Linked DNA regions of Macaca fascicularis. The protein of the gene in region 1 interacts with the protein of each later gene in a biochemical or structural test. Links are inferred from orthologs where the notes say so. Each region holds a gene or a part of one and is shown in the gene's direction. Other genes may lie near its edges.

The links. The genes of interacting proteins can lie anywhere in the genome.
Region 2: the proteins of GABARAPL1 (region 1) and TBC1D2B form a complex in vitro, tested with the Homo sapiens proteins (2 studies listed by BioGRID and IntAct). The link is inferred for Macaca fascicularis from reciprocal best matches to the Homo sapiens genes GABARAPL1 and TBC1D2B.
Region 3: the proteins of GABARAPL1 (region 1) and KBTBD6 form a complex in vitro, tested with the Homo sapiens proteins (2 studies listed by BioGRID and IntAct, with this or other methods). The link is inferred for Macaca fascicularis from reciprocal best matches to the Homo sapiens genes GABARAPL1 and KBTBD6.
Region 4: the proteins of GABARAPL1 (region 1) and KBTBD7 form a complex in vitro, tested with the Homo sapiens proteins (2 studies listed by BioGRID and IntAct, with this or other methods). The link is inferred for Macaca fascicularis from reciprocal best matches to the Homo sapiens genes GABARAPL1 and KBTBD7.

Annotation. Positions count from the first base shown.
Region 1 is NC_088385.1:10,692,672-10,696,864, reverse strand, and holds the start of GABARAPL1 (gamma-aminobutyric acid receptor-associated protein-like 1), read left to right. Parts: upstream 1-1,393; 5' UTR 1,394-1,650; coding exon 1,651-1,740; intron 1,741-4,193. UniProt on the Homo sapiens protein: Ubiquitin-like modifier that increases cell-surface expression of kappa-type opioid receptor through facilitating anterograde intracellular trafficking of the receptor. Involved in formation of autophagosomal vacuoles.
Region 2 is NC_088381.1:55,436,483-55,440,719, reverse strand, and holds the start of TBC1D2B (TBC1 domain family member 2B), read left to right. Parts: upstream 1-1,437; 5' UTR 1,438-1,521; coding exon 1,522-1,878; exon of another isoform or gene 1,879-1,954; intron 1,955-4,237. UniProt on the Homo sapiens protein: GTPase-activating protein that plays a role in the early steps of endocytosis.
Region 3 is NC_088391.1:20,478,023-20,482,039, reverse strand, and holds the start of KBTBD6 (kelch repeat and BTB domain-containing protein 6), read left to right. Parts: upstream 1-1,217; 5' UTR 1,218-1,508; coding exon 1,509-3,536; 3' UTR 3,537-4,017. UniProt on the Homo sapiens protein: As part of the CUL3(KBTBD6/7) E3 ubiquitin ligase complex functions as a substrate adapter for the RAC1 guanine exchange factor (GEF) TIAM1, mediating its 'Lys-48' ubiquitination and proteasomal degradation.
Region 4 is NC_088391.1:20,548,002-20,552,179, reverse strand, and holds the start of KBTBD7 (kelch repeat and BTB domain-containing protein 7), read left to right. Parts: upstream 1-1,378; 5' UTR 1,379-1,690; coding exon 1,691-3,748; 3' UTR 3,749-4,178. UniProt on the Homo sapiens protein: As part of the CUL3(KBTBD6/7) E3 ubiquitin ligase complex functions as a substrate adapter for the RAC1 guanine exchange factor (GEF) TIAM1, mediating its 'Lys-48' ubiquitination and proteasomal degradation.

The DNA of each region.
Region 1 (4,193 bases):
GCCTCCCAAGGTGCTGGGAGAACAGACGTGAGCCACCGCGCCTGTCCCCTTGTGGGTGTTTTTAAAATTAGACACTGAGACCCCGACTGAAGAAGATAGGCCATGGGGCTGCTGTTGTCTAATATTTCTCAGAACTCACCCGGCTTGTATGGGCAACGCAGCCCGTTTTCACTCTTCTTTTTCTTTGCAATCTCCACGGTCCTCCGTGTCGCTGCCTACCGTACTGGTTGGAAGGTCTTTATTCTTTGACTCTAGGTGGGGAAAGCGAGAACGAGGCTTCGCCGCACCTGCCGCAATGCCCAATCTTCCACTGGCATTCCAGGCAGCGCTTTCCAGCCACGTGAGGGATACCTAACCACTGGAACTAAATAAGATGTGGGGGAAGAATTGAGGTCATCACCTAAATTGCTTGATACTCTCTTTTCCAGAAGACAAGCCTCCTTTCTGAGTTAATGGCAGAAAGTGAATCACTTCTTTCTTTCTTTTCTTTTTCTTTAAGACGGTGTTTCGCTCTTGTCGCCCAGGCTGTAGTGCGATGCCGCGATCTTGGCTCACCGCAACCTCCGCTTCCCGGGTTAGAGCGATTCTCCTGCCTCAGCCTCCAGAGTAGCTGGGATTACAGGCATGGGCCACCACGCCCAGCTAATTTTGTATTTTTAGTAGAGACGGGGTTTCTCCATGTTGGTCAGGCTGGTCTCGAACTCCTAACTTCAGGTGATCCCCCTGCCTCGGCCTCCCAAAGTGCTGGGATTACAGGCATGAGCCACCGCGTCCGGCTAGAAAGTGAATCATTACTGTATTTGATTGTACGTGAAGCCCTCCGTAGTCCTGACTGACATCACGTCTCCTTTGGACCTTGATTACACTCCGCGTCCTTCATCTGACTCCTCTCTTCAAATTCCTGAGTCACGCTCTGTTTATGTTGCTGTTCAGGAGCGAACTGCGGCGCGGCCCAAACACTGTGACGCCAGCGCGGGAGGAGGGCCGCGGGAGGGGCAGCGGAAAGCGCAGAGGGCACGGTGCAAGCACGAGACAGCTCTGCATTGGCCAAAGGGATCCCAGGAGGCCTGGGCCTCTTTTCCCCTGAGGCTGGATCCCAACCAGCAGGAAAAGGATTTTCGCCTTTTGTATTTGTTTTGGGGCCAAACCAAGAAAAACAGTGGAGGGGGAATAAAACATGTTTAAAATTGTTTTTGTCTTAAAACCGTCTTTCACAGTCACAAAATAAAACACAACTAGAATGTTTTGATGTTTGCAATGACATCGATTTTGAAAAACGTTAGCCAGAAAGGAAACGCAGTTAAGACAGCACTCGGCCGCCCCCTGCCCTCGGCGCCTGGGGGGCGGGGCGGGGCGCGCAGGGTGACGTCACAGCCCGACGCGCCACCCAACTGTTTTTGTGCTCGCAGCTCCAGCGAAAAGCCGCCGGTATTTCTCCACCTGGCTCTCCTCTATCTCCGGGCAGGCTCACCCGAGATTCCCCCCCACACCGAACCCCCTCTGCACGCTCGGCCCAGCGCTGTTGCCCCGGGAGCGGACGTTTCTGTAGCTATTTGAGCACACCTTGACGTCGGCGGAGGGAGCTGGACAGGGCCAGCGGCGAAGGAGGCAGGCCCCGCGCGGGGAATTTCGGAAGCCCTGCGGTGCATCATGAAGTTCCAGTACAAGGAGGACCATCCCTTTGAGTATCGGAAAAAGGAAGGAGAAAAGATCCGGAAGAAATATCCGGACAGGGTCCCCGTGAGTGTAGAGGAGCGGGGGGATGGGAGGGGAAGGGCCCGCGGGGGCGGGGGCTGGGAGTCGAGATGGCTTCCCTGGGGCGCCCAGGCGACTCTGGGGAAGGGAGGTGCCGATAATTAGTTAATCCTGAACGCCCTTCAGTGCCCGAGCCAATGGACGTCCAGACTGCGGAGCTTTTAAAACCACATATGCCTGGGGCCTGAACCCCACTTCAGGGCTGACGGTGTTTTTGGGGCCGAGCTGCCATCTTCAGTGACTCAGCAACCCACACGGTCTCAGCAATACTGAGACCCTGTGTGGGTTGAGGTGCGCAAAATAGCGCCCCTGTGTGCGAGAGTGGTTAGATCAGGGCCGTGGATTGGCTCCCTTTAAGAACGCGGGGACACTGTGCTGTGCGGTGAGGTTTGCGCAAACCCGGTCGATTTCTGCCTTGGCTGGTTCTCCTTTAATGAAGTTGACTTTGGCTGTCATATCATTGGGCTTGGGAGGAAAAGGTTCAGAAGCTATTCGGTTCTTTTCTTGCATTACAGGGGGGTAGGGGAGCACAAGACAGTCCGGGCCTGAAAAACAAGGTCACGTTCTCTGCGCAACAGCCCTCATGCCTCATCGTTCTAGGCTCCGGGAAATGTGTGGGGACAGCCAGCCTCCCCCGGTATTGATTTCTGATCACCTGGCACCTGCACGCGATAAGGCAGGACTGAGACGTTTTTTCTGTGTTTTGGACACCGGCTTAAGTAGTTAAAACTAGCGCAGGTAGTGAGTAGGAACAGAGAAGAAACATTAGGTGTCTTTCACCATCCGGGCGTTTTCCCCATTACCCCCTCCCCCGCCCCTTGCCTGGTGTTTCTCTAATGTGGGCTGCGCAGCCGAATTGGAGGGCAGAGTATGACTTTTAAGTGGTAAAGGGACCAGCAGCTGTTGGATTTTGGAAATGGAGGAGCAGAGATTTTTAAAATTGTGCTCTTTATCTTCAGGTAGGAACATCAGGATTACATGTCACATCATGGTAAAATAATTGCTGTTATCTGATGTCTTATCTTGATTCGCAGCCACTCTGGGTTTCTTCTCTAATCCTTACCTAACGTTCGTGGTTTTATAGCTACCAGAAGCCAGCAGGGCCTTAGCCCAGCAGTAGAAACCTCTTGTACCCCTTTTCCTTTAAAAAAAAAAAAAAAAAAGTCATTAGGGCTCTTCCATTCCTCAGAAATTACCAAAGGGTTTTCAGTTTATAGAGGGGTGAGCTAATCCCTTACTCGGTAAAGGATCCTTTACAAAATACTTTGCTGGTTTCTGGACCTTGGATACCTGAAAATTTTGCCGAGTTCTGGTGATACCAATCTTTAGAGCAATGATATTTAAAAAATACAGTCATATTTTACTAATAGTTTACAGTAGCAGTATAAGTACTCAGTCTGTAATCATTCGCTTAATCCTTACACGATTATAATCCCCGTTCTACAGACGGAGTATTCAAAGCACAAAGAAATGCGGTAACTTCCTAAAGGTTTCACATTGCTGATCTGTGTTTGAGCCGGAATTCTAACCCTGTCTGACGGACTGTGGAGCTCTCGGAGACCTTAACCTCCGTGCCATACTGTTTCTCAGTTTCTAATATAGTTGTTATTAACCAGAATTAATGACGTGCTGTGGACTTCACACTGTTAAGTATTGGAAATAGATAAATACTTATGTGTATTCTGAATATTTCAGTGCATTCTGTTCTTTTCATGCTCATAGTTTGGTGTTAAATGTTTTACTCCTGTGATAATTTTTAAGCCATTAAGACTGTCACTCAGATTTCAGCTTCCCTAGGGTTATGTTTTAACCAGCGCTGAGCTGCTCCCAAGGTGCTCAGTCTGTGACCTTCTTTCTAGTTATGACGCAGGTTCCTTGATTTGGTTCTAGTTCTGGGAATTCACTGCATCCTTGGGCAGAACTTTTAATCTTGCTGTGCTAGATAGAGTGCCTTGTTTACAGAAAAGAGGGTTAGAGTAGTGGTTCCTAAAGCCCATTCCAGCTTGACCATTGGTGTTATTCAAGCAGTGGCGTATCCTGACTGCTCGCATAACCAGAGTTTAGTCCCACCAATATTTCTTCAGAGCTAACAGTTGAAAAGAAGAGGTATGCTTGTGCCTTCAGAGAGGAGGGGTTGGTGGGATCTTGAAATTATCTTCAAAGACACAACATATCAAAAAGACTGCTAGAAACAGATTGTCTATTTTAAAAATTCATAGGTCTATTGAGTATTAGTCACATTTTACAAAGAGGAAAACTGAGACCCAAAGAGGCAAAGCATCTAGCCCAGGGTCTACCATAGTGAGGAGTAGAGTTGGGATTCCTGGAAATTTAACCTTGGTTCTGGGAAACCAATCCTTTAATAATTACCCCTCCCCCTTTTCTTCCTCTCCAAACCCCTGCCTTCCCTCCAGGTATTGCGGTCTGCTTTATCACTT
Region 2 (4,237 bases), on another chromosome or scaffold:
ATCTGGGTCTGTGTTCCACGTCACAGGATCAGACCAGCCTCCTTGCCTGTCCTGGGGGAGCAGCCTGCTACCTGCCCCCTCACTTCATCCTCTCACTTTGCTTTTTATTTATTTTATTTTTTATTCTTGTGGGAACATAGTAGGTATTTATGTTTATGGATTACATGAGACATTTTAACACAGGCATGCAAGGCATAATAATCACATCAGGGTAAGTAACATATTCATCACCTCAAGCATTTATCCTTTGTGTTACAAACAATCCAATTATACTTTTTTTTTTCTTTTTAGACAGAGTTTCGCTCTTGTTGCCCAGGCTGGAGTGCAATGGTGTGATATTGGCTCACTGTAACCTCCGCCTCCTGGGTTCAAGAGATTCTCCTGCCTCAGCCTGCCGAGTAGCTGGGATTACAGGCATGGGCCACCATGCCCCGGTAATTTTGTATTTTTAGTAGGGACGGGGTTTCTTCATGTTGGTCACACTGGTCTTAAACTCCCAACCTCAGGTGATGCGCCCACCTCGGCCTCCCAAACTGCTGGGATTACAGGCATGAACCACCGTGCCTGTATTATCCTCTTTTGGTTATTTTTAAATGTACAATTATATTATTTTTGACTATAGTCACCCTGTTTTGCTAGCAAATACTTAGTCTTATTCATTCTTTCTCTTTGCTTTATTACAAAGCAATAGATTTGCCTTCTCAGGTTGTGAGTGTTCAAATAATCTATAAAGCACTGATAAATACTAGGTGCTATTTTAAGTGATAATATTTACATGTCATCACGGCATTTATACAACATAGCACACATTACTTTTATCTGCTTTCTTGTGTATCACCTCCTTGCCTTACTAGAATATAATCTCCACGAGGGCAGGAGAATGATTGGTTTGTTCACTGCTCTATCCGCCAGGGCCTGGCATACAGAACTGTACCTGGCATTCAGAAGGCACTCAATAAATATATGTTGAATTCAATGAATGAACTGAAGTCTGGAGAGGCAGGAAACGCTTTGGCTTTCATGAATTCTGCAAATATTTACTGAGCACCCACTCAGCGCCAGGCAATAGGCTGTCTCATTTTTACAATATTAGCTTGAGACTCTGGCAGGAGGGAGATTTAAAAATCAAGTTTTTAGAAAAAGGTACACAGTGTGAAATGCAGTTTTAAGTGGACACTCCGTTGGGTTTTGAGAGATGCACACTCCCATGTACTTACACTGCCGTAAAGAAATAGACCATTGCTTCACCCCACAGGGCGAGGACTTGGAGCACAGGTAGCACGAAGGCAACTGACTTGCAGGGATGCTGGACGCAGGACCCTGCCTCCGGGGACTGCGGGGGCAACGGCTGGCGGGCGGGCGGGGGCGGGACTACAAGTCCCAGGCTGCTTTGCGCACCCGCGGGCCTTGCGGAGCGATGGGGCGGTGCGGAGGGGTAGGGGGCGCAGCGGCGGTGGCGCGAAGGCGCGGGGAGCGGGCGCGGGCTTGGGCTCGGGCTCCTACCGTTGGCGCGCGGTAGCTATGCCGGGGGCTGGATCCCGGGCGGAGGAGGGCGGTGGCGGCGAGGGCGCGGCTCAGGGGGCGGCCGCGGAGCCCGGGGCGGGTCCCGCGCGGGAGCCAGCGCGGCTGTGCGGCTATCTGCAGAAGCTGTCGGGCAAAGGCCCCCTGCGCGGCTACCGCAGCCGCTGGTTCGTGTTCGACGCGCGCCGCTGTTACCTCTACTATTTCAAGAGTCCGCAGGACGCGCTGCCCCTCGGCCACCTGGACATCGCGGACGCCTGCTTCAGCTACCAGGGCCCCGACGAGGCGGCGGAGCTGGGCGCGGAGCCGCCCGCGCACTTCCAGGTGCACAGCGCGGGAGCCGTCACGGTGCTCAAGGTGGGACCGCGCGCCCCAAAGCCGCCCTTGCGCTTCCGCAGGCGCCCGCTGCCTCGACCACGGGCCTGCGCCATCCACCCTCCTTCCTCCAAGGCCTCCTCGCCCCTGACCACGTCGGCCTGCCTTTCCCTGCGTCTCCACATCCCGCCCTTGTTCCTATCTTCACCCCTCTACCTGGGCTTCGGCCAGTCTGGCTGGGGCTACCCAGCCCCATCTCCTTCCTCAGACACCTTGACCCATTATCCCCTCTGCGCCTAACCTCGGGCCCCTCTCTGGTGTCTCCCGACCCCCACCATCCCGTGGATGTCCCGTGCAGCCTTCCTAGGCCTGTAACCGTAGGCTTCTACCCTCGGGGCCTCCTTTAGAACTCTGCCGGCGGGGCGCTGTGGCTAACGCCTGTAATCCTAGCACTTTGGGAGGCTGAGGCGGGTGGATCACGAGGTCAGGAGATCGAGACCATCCTGGCTAACACGGTGAAACCCCGTCTCTACTGAAAATACAAAAAATTAGCCGGGCATGGTGGCGGGCGCCTGTAGTCCCAGCTACTTGGGCGACTGAGGCGGGAGAATGGCGTGAACCCGGGAGGCGGAGCTTGCAGTGAGCCGAGATGCGCCACTGCACTCCAGCCTGGGGGACAGAGCGACTCTGTCTCAAATGAAAAAAGAAAGAAGACCTCTGCCTATAACCTTGGTACCTCAGTGAACCGCTCTGTGCTGCAGCGGCCTCCTCTGTAAACTGGGATAGCAGTAGTATCTACCTCATGGGGTGTTGGGATTAAATGAATTATAGTCTAAACTGCTCAGTAAATGTTAGTGCTTTTATTTATTTGTTTATTCTTTTTGAGACAGGATCTCGTTCTGTTGTCCAGGCTGGAGTGCAGGGGTGCAATCTTGGCTCATTGCAGCCTCTATGCCTGGGCTCAAGCGATCCTCCCACCTCAGCCTCCCAAGTAGCAGGGACCACAGGCGCAGGCCCCCACGCCTGGCTAATTAATTTTTTTTTTTTTAAAGAAACGGGGTCTTACTATGTTGCCCAGGCTAGTTCCGAACTCCTGGGCTGAAACCATTCTCCCCATCCAGCTTCCCAAAGTGCTAGGATGCCAGGCGTGAGCCAGAGTGCATTCAGCACTGTAGACAGAAAGAGTCAGAGATGGCAGGGCCCTTAGAGACAGTCCACTACATTTCCCTCCAGAGTGGACAGGAATGCTCCAGCTAAGGTGACAACAAGTAGGTGGCAGAGCCTGTTTTCTTGCTCCTTGCTTTGTCCAGGAGAGGTGAGAGGGGGTCGCTTCAGCCAGTTATGACTTGCTCCTTTGAGGCTCCCTTAATCCTCCAGTGAAGAGACACAATGAGAGATACAGTGTAGAGGCAGGAGAGTAGAGTCAGGAGTCCTGGTGCTGAAAGGCCTCCCCTGTCCTTAAGAGTCCTGGGGGACTAGACTGTCACCTCCTAGGAGCCTACCTGCTTTGAGCACCTGGAGGGATCTGGGCCCAGGCCTGGAGCTGGGTATCCTTTCTCCAGGCTTTGCTCCCTGCCTGGTTCCTATGAGTCTCCACCCTCACTCTCTTACGTATTCCCAAGTTGGGCTTTCTCCAGGACAACAGGGTTGGGCTGGGATGTATGAAAGCGCTCTCAAAGTTGGCCACGTGGAGAGCAGAGTAGGCAAGCGCCTGGCCTTATGAGCTGATGACTGTTCCTCAGACCCCAGAGCTGCTAACAGCTGGAGCTGCTCCCTGGAGATGTTCTTAGAGCTTTGTTGACTCAGCTTTTGCCAGCTTAAGCAGGATCTGATTCCCGTGTTCTCTTGGGCTCCCCTGTCCTGTCTGTAAGTGTGTGCAGACAGCCTGTTTCCCCAAAGAAAACCAATTCGGGTTGCAGTCCTACTCAGGCCTACTTAGAGAGTGCCTGTATAATCTTGGGAATGACCCTAGTGGGAGACCTTTGCCAAAGGCAGAGGCTCTTCCTCAGTGTACATACGGGCTGTCCCTGTGTCGTATTAATTTCCTGTGGAATGTTTGTCAAAGAAACTAGAGCATCATGTTTCACATTTTTCCCAGATGACTGTAGAGCCCTCTGTCGGTTTTTTTTCATTAAAATAATCTGAATCTCCTGTAATCCCAGCACTTTGGGAGGCCGAGGTGGGTGGATCACAAGGTCAGGAGATCAAGACCTGGCTAACACAGTGACACCCCAACTCTATTAAATATACAAAAAATTAGCCGGGTGTGGTGGCGGGCGCCTGTAGTCACAGCTACTCGAGAGGCTGAGGCAGGAGAATGGCGTGAACCCATGAGGCGGAGCTTGCAGTGAGCAGAGGTCGCACCACTGCACTCCAGCCTGGGTGACAGAGCGGGCTCCGT
Region 3 (4,017 bases), on another chromosome or scaffold:
TTCTCAGTGACTTCTAATGTCTGAACTACATGGGTAAGTAAAGGTTGAGTGAATGACTAAAAATAAAGTCAGTTCTGATGGAGCAGCAACTTCATACAAGCAAGGGGAGAAATGCTTGAGCCTCTGGGTCTAAAAGGATGCTAAATTACCAACCAGGCCTCTGGCTTCCCTTGTGTTTTGGGGTGAGGACCCCTAAAGCATGTCTCTTCTTTTATGTAAAAAAGGGAAAGGGGTACTGAATATTGGACAGACCAAGTGGGAAAAGTGGCTAGAGAGGACTTCAGATTTTGAAATGCAGATATGGAAGGAAAGTCTCAAAGTAAGGTGATTGGAGGTGGTTTCCTTTTAGTCATGGCAAGTAAGGACAGGCAATTGTGAAAAAACCAGGGATCTAATTCCAGCAACAGCCAACCAATCCTACAAACCCTGAGTTAATTTTTGGTATCAGGGAGAGGCACAGTGAGTAAAAAATAAAAATAAAAAAAATTCACTTCTACTGGATGCATACACTAATACAAGGTGTTAATAATAATAAGGGAACTGTGAAGTGGGGAGAGATATATGGAAGTTCCCTGTCCCTGCTGCTCAATTTGTCTGTAAACCTAAAAATAAAATCTAATTTACACACACACACACACACACACACACACACACACACCCCTAAAAAGGGATCTCTGCTGCAATTTGCAAGGTTTTCTGTTTTCGGGGGCTGTTTTTTGTTTTCCTACAGGCTCATAATTTCAAATTAGTGATGCTTCCTTTTTTTTCTATATATATAAAGGCTAGAAGAAAACTTGTCGAACCTTTATATTCTAAGAACTGAGTAATTATTCTACAAACCAACAAATATTAACAGCGTCCTATAACCAACTCATTTAATCTTCACACAATCCTATGAAATACTACTGTTCACATTTTACAAAAGAAGAAACAATTCAAAGAGACAAGTCGAACAATACATACTAGAACGAGGCGACTACTGTGGATTCCAAAACCAAAGTTCCAAACCACAAAATCGAATCTAGGAAAACTGGCGCTCTCGAGTGTCGTCAGTTAAAAAACAAGGAACACCAGAGAAGGATCGCGATATTACACAAACTACTACTCCCAACATGCAAAGCGGATTCTTTCCCTCGGTATCGGCCTGGGAGTCCGAGAGGCCCAGCAGCCTTCGGGGCGCGAAAGGCAACCTGGGAGCGGTAGTTCTCCTGGGCCCTAGTATTGTCGCCCACGCGGCAGTAGCGGCTTCTACGGCTCCAAGCCAGCGGGTCCTGTGAAGGCGAGCAGACGCGGAGAAAGGACGCGGGAGTGAGAGAGGGTGAGTCAGCTACTGTCTAAACGATAAAGGGAGGCGGCTCCGCAGGGTAGGGCTGAATTCAGTAAATGGGCTCGTGCTGCGGTCTCTTGGGAGACGCTGCTATCTTAGCGTCAGCGAGGGAAGGTTGAGGAGGAGCCAGAGCCGGGTCCTGCAGCCTTTCTCGCCATCAGCGCCCGTCGCCATCTCCACCATGCAGTCCCGGGAAGACGCCCCGCGCTCTCGCCGCCTCGCCAGTCCCCGTGGTGGGAAGCGGCCCAAGAAGATTCACAAACCCACGGTTTCGGCCTTTTTCACGGGTCCAGAGGAATTAAAGGACACGGCCCATTCTGCAGCCCTGCTGGCACAGCTCAAGTCCTTCTACGATGCGCGGCAGCTGTGTGATGTGACCATCGAGGTGGTGACGCCTGGCAGCGGGCCTGGCACGGGTCGCCTCTTCCCCTGCAACCGCAATGTGCTGGCCGCCGCGTGTCCCTACTTCAAGAGCATGTTCACAGGTGGCATGTACGAGAGCCAGCAGACTAGCGTGACCATGCACGATGTGGACGCTGAGTCCTTCGAGGTGTTGGTCGACTACTGCTACACGGGTCGTGTGTCTCTCAGCGAGGCCAACGTGGAGCGCCTGTACGCGGCCTCCGACATGCTGCAACTGGAGTATGTGCGGGAAGCCTGTGCCTCCTTCTTAGCCCGACGTCTTGACCTGACCAACTGCACCGCCATCCTCAAGTTTGCAGACGCCTTTGGCCATCGCAAGCTGCGATCCCAGGCCCAGTCCTATATAGCTCAGAACTTCAAGCAGCTCAGCCACATGGGTTCAATTCGGGAGGAGACTCTAGCAGATCTGACCCTGGCCCAGCTGCTGGCTGTCCTGCGCTTGGATAGTCTGGACGTGGAGAGTGAGCAGACAGTGTGCCACGTGGCAGTGCAGTGGCTGGAGGCTGCTCCCAAGGAGCGGGGTCCCAGTGCTGCGGAAGTCTTCAAGTGCGTGCGCTGGATGCACTTCACTGAAGAAGATCAGGACTACTTAGAAGGGCTGCTGACCAAGCCCATCGTGAAGAAGTACTGCCTGGACGTTATTGAAGGGGCCCTGCAGATGCGCTATGGTGACCTGTTGTACAAGTCTCTGGTGCCAGTGCCAAACAGCAGCAGCAGCAGCAGTAGCAGCAGCAACTCTCTTGTATCTGCAGCAGAAAATCCACCCCAGAGACTGGGTATGTGTGCCAAGGAGATGGTGATCTTCTTTGGACACCCCAGAGATCCCTTTCTCTGCTGTGATCCATACTCGGGGGACCTTTACAAAGTGCCGTCACCTTTGACCTGTCTGGCTCACACTAGGACTGTCACCACCTTAGCTGTCTGTATCTCTCCTGACCATGACATCTATCTAGCTGCCCAGCCCAGGACAGACCTCTGGGTGTATAAACCAGCTCAGAACAGTTGGCAGCAACTTGCAGATCGCTTGCTGTGTCGTGAGGGCATGGATGTGGCATATCTCAATGGCTACATCTACATTTTGGGGGGGCGAGACCCTATTACTGGAGTTAAGTTGAAGGAAGTGGAATGCTACAATGTTAAGAGAAACCAGTGGGCATTGGTGGCTCCACTGCCCCATTCTTTTTTATCCTTTGACCTAATGGTAATTCGGGACTATCTCTATGCTCTCAACAGTAAGCGCATGTTCTGTTATGATCCTAGCCATAATATGTGGTTGAAGTGCGTTTCTCTGAAGCGCAATGACTTTCAGGAAGCGTGCGTCTTCAATGAGGAGATCTACTGTATCTGTGACATCCCAGTCATGAAGGTCTACAACCCAGTTAGGGCAGAATGGAGGCAAATGAATAATATTCCCTTGGTCTCAGAGACCAACAACTACCGGATTATCAAGCATGGCCAAAAATTGTTGCTCATCACCTCTCGCACCCCACAATGGAAAAAGAACCGGGTGACTGTGTATGAATATGATATTAGGGGAGACCAATGGATTAATATAGGTACCACATTAGGCCTCTTGCAGTTTGATTCTAACTTTTTTTGCCTCTCTGCTCGTGTTTATCCTTCCTGCCTTGAACCTGGTCAGAGTTTTCTCACTGAAGAAGAAGAAATACCAAGTGAGTCTAGCACTGAATGGGACTTAGGTGGATTCAGTGAGCCAGACTCTGAGTCAGGAAGTTCAAGTTCTCTTTCTGATGATGATTTTTGGGTGCGTGTAGCGCCTCAGTGAAATGCACAGGATAAGCAGGGTTTGTTGTAACTGAATTGAAACACTAAGTTGTTTTTACTGTTTTGGAAAATATCTTAAATATCCTTTTTGTTCCTAAAGGAAAGGAAAAGTTGATTAGCTGCCGGTTTGGTTTAGAAAAAGTAATATTTGAAATACGAAGGTAATTTAATATTACAAATGTTAACACTCAGATCAACCTTTTAATAATTTTCTGTGCTAAGGGTCCAGTATTTATTTGATTATTTAGTATGTTTATGTTTCATGACACTAATTTAGTCTTTTGATAAATTTTACATTCTGTTTACTGCCACAAGCACTGTGGCAGTAACTTTTGAATTTTAATGTTTATGATAGAAAAATGATTAGGAATTGCTAGATAGTGTTTTGAAAGCTTATCTTTTTCTTCGGAACAATGTAGATTTCCAAAATGGTTAACCTAAGGGGTCTTTGCAAAATGTGTTATAAGTTAAACATAATTTGG
Region 4 (4,178 bases), on another chromosome or scaffold:
GGACAAAGAATTGGAAGAAACACATAAACAAAGCAAGGAAAGAATGAAACAACAAAATCAGAGATGTACTGAAAATGAAAGTACACTCCAGTGTGGGCGCAGGCCCAGCACAGGGCTCAAGGGCCCTGTTACAGAATTCCTGGAGGTTTAAATACCCTCTAGAGGATTCACTGGTTACTTGGTGTATACCCTATGTAAACGAAGAGAATGAATTAAAGTTACAAACTCATTTACTCGGCATACACCCTATGGAGAGGGTATTTCTTGTTATAGCTAAAGTGTGAATCGGCCTTATGTTCCCTGCCTCCAGACCCTATTTTCCTGCCTCAAATCTCTAATACTTGATTTTGATGATTTAACTGTTGATCAATGCAAATATAAAAGACTTTTGTAAAGCATAGGCTATACTGTATGTTAATTCAAGGAATGTCAGGGCATGTACTAATGCTGAATTCTGAGAATCACGTGCTTTTGTACAGAACAAAGTCTGTTTCTTGAAATATTTTGAGTTAAATACTCCCTAAAACTCCTTAATAAAGGCAATTACAGAATCTGTTAATTGATATGTGGAATGGCAGTGAAAGAGACTGTATTAGACGACTTGAAAACACTCATATTTGGAGCTTAATGAAAATATTCCTGCTCCCCAGAGATGAAATGTTAGTGAGAGTAGCAAATAATCTATTTTTATATGCCCGATTTGCATATTTGAGGCCATCTATTAACACCGTTCTTTAGGACCTCAACCTAGTCGTCTAAGACATCCTTATTAAACAAGGCCAATACGTACCATTTAACATTGAAAATAGTTAATGCCCTTCAAAATCTTTCAAAAGAATAAAAATTAAAAACTAAGTTCTTTGTAAAATTTTGCGGTTTAAAATAATTTTAAAAATTTTAAAAATTTTTTGGTTTCAAATTAGTGGGTGCCTCATTTATCATAAATTATAAAAGAGAATCTAACAATTATTGGCTACATTCTAGGCACGGGGTAACGCTTTATTGTTCTTCTAACCAAAAAAATACATGTATCTAAGTATCCTATGTAACGTATCATTCAATCACACAAAACCCTATGAAATACTGGCAGGGCCCGGTGGCTCACGCCTGTAATCCCAGCACTTTGAGAGGCAGAGGCAGGAGGATAATTTGAGCCCTCAGGAGTTCAAGACCAGCCTGGACAACAATAGTGAGACATCGTCACTTCACCATCATATCCAGAATTAATTTCTACTGTTAGGGCAGTCAGCGAAAGGAAAGCTCGCGATATTACACAAACTACTACTCCCAACATGCAAAGCGGTTTCTTTCCCTCTGTCCCCGCCCGGCCGTCCGAGAGCCCCAGCAGGCCTCGGGGCGCGAAAGGCAACCTGGAAGCGGTAGTTCTCCTGGGCGCCTAGCGGGATCGCCAGCGCGGCAGTGGGGCCTTCCGCGGCTCCAAGCCAGCGGGTCCTGTGAGGGCGAGCGGAGGCGGAGAAAGGGCGCGGGAGTGAGAGAGGGTGAGTCAGCCACTGTCTACGCAATAAAGGGAGACCTCACCGCGGGCTAAGGCTGAATTCAGAAGTGCGGCCCGTGCCGCAGTCTGTTCCAGGACGCGGCTTGTCTTAGCGTCAGCGAGGGAAGGTTGAGGAGGAGCCAGAGCCGGGTCCGGCAGCCTTTCTCGCTATCAGCGCCCGTCGCCATCTCCACCATGCAGTCCCGGGAAGACGCCCCGCGCTCTCGCCGCCTCGCCAGCCCCCGCGGTGGGAGGCGGCCCAAGAGGATTTCCAAGCCCTCGGTTTCGGCCTTTTTCACGGGTCCAGAGGAATTAAAGGACACGGCCCATTCTGCAGCCCTGCTGGCACAGCTCAAGTCTTTCTACGACGCGCGGCTGCTGTGTGATGTGACCATCGAGGTGGTGACGCCTGGCAGCGGGCCTGGCACGGGTCGCCTCTTTTCCTGCAATCGCAACGTGCTAGCAGCTGCGTGTCCCTACTTCAAGAGCATGTTCACAGGTGGCATGTACGAGAGCCAGCAGGCCAGCGTGACCATGCACGATGTGGACGCCGAGTCCTTCGAGGTGTTGGTCGACTACTGCTACACGGGTCGTGTCTCTCTCAGCGAGGCCAATGTGCAGCGCCTGTACGCAGCCTCCGACATGCTGCAACTGGAGTATGTGCGGGAAGCCTGTGCCTCCTTCTTAGCCCGACGTCTTGACCTGACCAACTGCACCGCCATCCTCAAGTTTGCAGACGCCTTCGACCATCACAAGCTTCGATCTCAGGCCCAGTCCTATATAGCTCAGAACTTCAAGCAGCTCAGCCGAATGGGTTCAATTCGGGAAGAGACTCTAGCAGATCTGACCCTGGCCCAGCTGCTGGCTGTCCTGCGCTTGGATAGTCTGGACATAGAGAGTGAGCGGACTGTATGCCATGTAGCTGTGCAGTGGCTGGAGGCTGCTCCCAAGGAGCGGGGTCCCAGTGCTGCGGAAGTCTTCAAGTGCGTGCGCTGGATGCACTTCACTGAAGAAGATCAGGACTACTTAGAAGGGCTGCTGACCAAGCCCATCGTGAAGAAGTACTGCCTGGACGTTATTGAAGGGGCCCTGCAGATGCGCTATGGTGACCTGTTGTACAAGTCTCTGGTGCCAGTGCCAAACAGCAGCAGCAGCAGCAGTAGCAGCAGCAACTCTCTTGTATCTGCAGCAGAAAATCCACCCCAGAGACTGGGTATGTGTGCCAAGGAGATGGTGATCTTCTTTGGACACCCGAGAGATCCCTTTCTCTGCTATGACCCTTACTCAGGGGACATTTACACAATGCCATCACCTTTGACCAGCTTTGCTCACACTAAGACTGTTACCTCCTCAGCTGTCTGTGTCTCCCCAGACCATGACATCTATCTAGCTGCCCAGCCAAGGAAAGACCTCTGGGTGTATAAACCAGCTCAGAATAGTTGGCAGCAACTTGCAGATCGCTTGCTGTGTCGTGAGGGCATGGATGTGGCATATCTCAATGGCTACATCTACATTTTGGGGGGGCGAGACCCTACTACTGGAGTTAAGTTGAAGGAAGTGGAATGCTACAGTGTTCAGAGAAACCAGTGGGCATTGGTGGCTCCTGTCCCTCATTCCTTCTATTCCTTTGAACTCATAGTGGTTCAGAACTATCTTTATGCTGTCAACAGTAAGCGCATGCTCTGCTATGATCCTAGCCACAATATGTGGCTGAACTGTGCTTCTCTTAAACGCAGTGACTTTCAGGAAGCATGTGTCTTCAATGATGAAATCTATTGTATCTGTGACATCCCAGTCATGAAGGTCTACAACCCAGCTAGGGGAGAATGGAGGCGGATTAGTAATATTCCTTTGGATTCAGAGACCCACAACTACCAGATTGTCAATCATGACCGAAAGTTGCTTCTCATCACTTCTACAACCCCACAATGGAAAAAGAACCGAGTAACAGTGTATGAGTATGATACTAGGGAAGATCAGTGGATTAATATAGGTACTATGTTAGGCCTTTTGCAGTTTGACTCTGGCTTTATTTGCCTTTGTGCCCGTGTTTATCCTTCCTGCCTTGAACCTGGTCAGAGTTTTATTACTGAGGAAGATGATGCACGGAGTGAGTCTAGTACTGAATGGGACTTAGATGGATTCAGTGAGCTGGACTCTGAGTCAGGAAGTTCAAGTTCTTTTTCAGATGATGAAGTCTGGGTGCAAGTAGCACCTCAGCGAAATGCACAGGATCAGCAGGGTTCTTTGTAAATAGATTTTGAGACACTAAGATGTTTCTACTGCTACGGAATGTATTTTAAACACATATCCTTTCTTTTTCTTGAAAAAAAAAAAGTTGACCAGGACCACAGATTTGGTTTAGAAAGGGTAATATTTTGAAATACTACAAGGTTTAAACAGTCCACAAAATCGACCTGTTTAATAATATACCTTCCTGAAAGTCCAAAATTAAAATATGGAAGCAAGAACTATGTAATTGACTGGGATGCTTGGTAGGTTTTTTTCATTGTTCAAATATTCATTGCACAGTGGATTGTTTTGATTAGTTAGTATGCTTTTTTTTTTTTTAATTAATTCAGTCTTCTGTTAATTTTTAAGTTTTGGTTAGTGCCACAAGGAATTTAACTTTTTAATCTGTACAATAGAAAACTGGACTAGGAATTGTTGGTGGAGTTTTGAA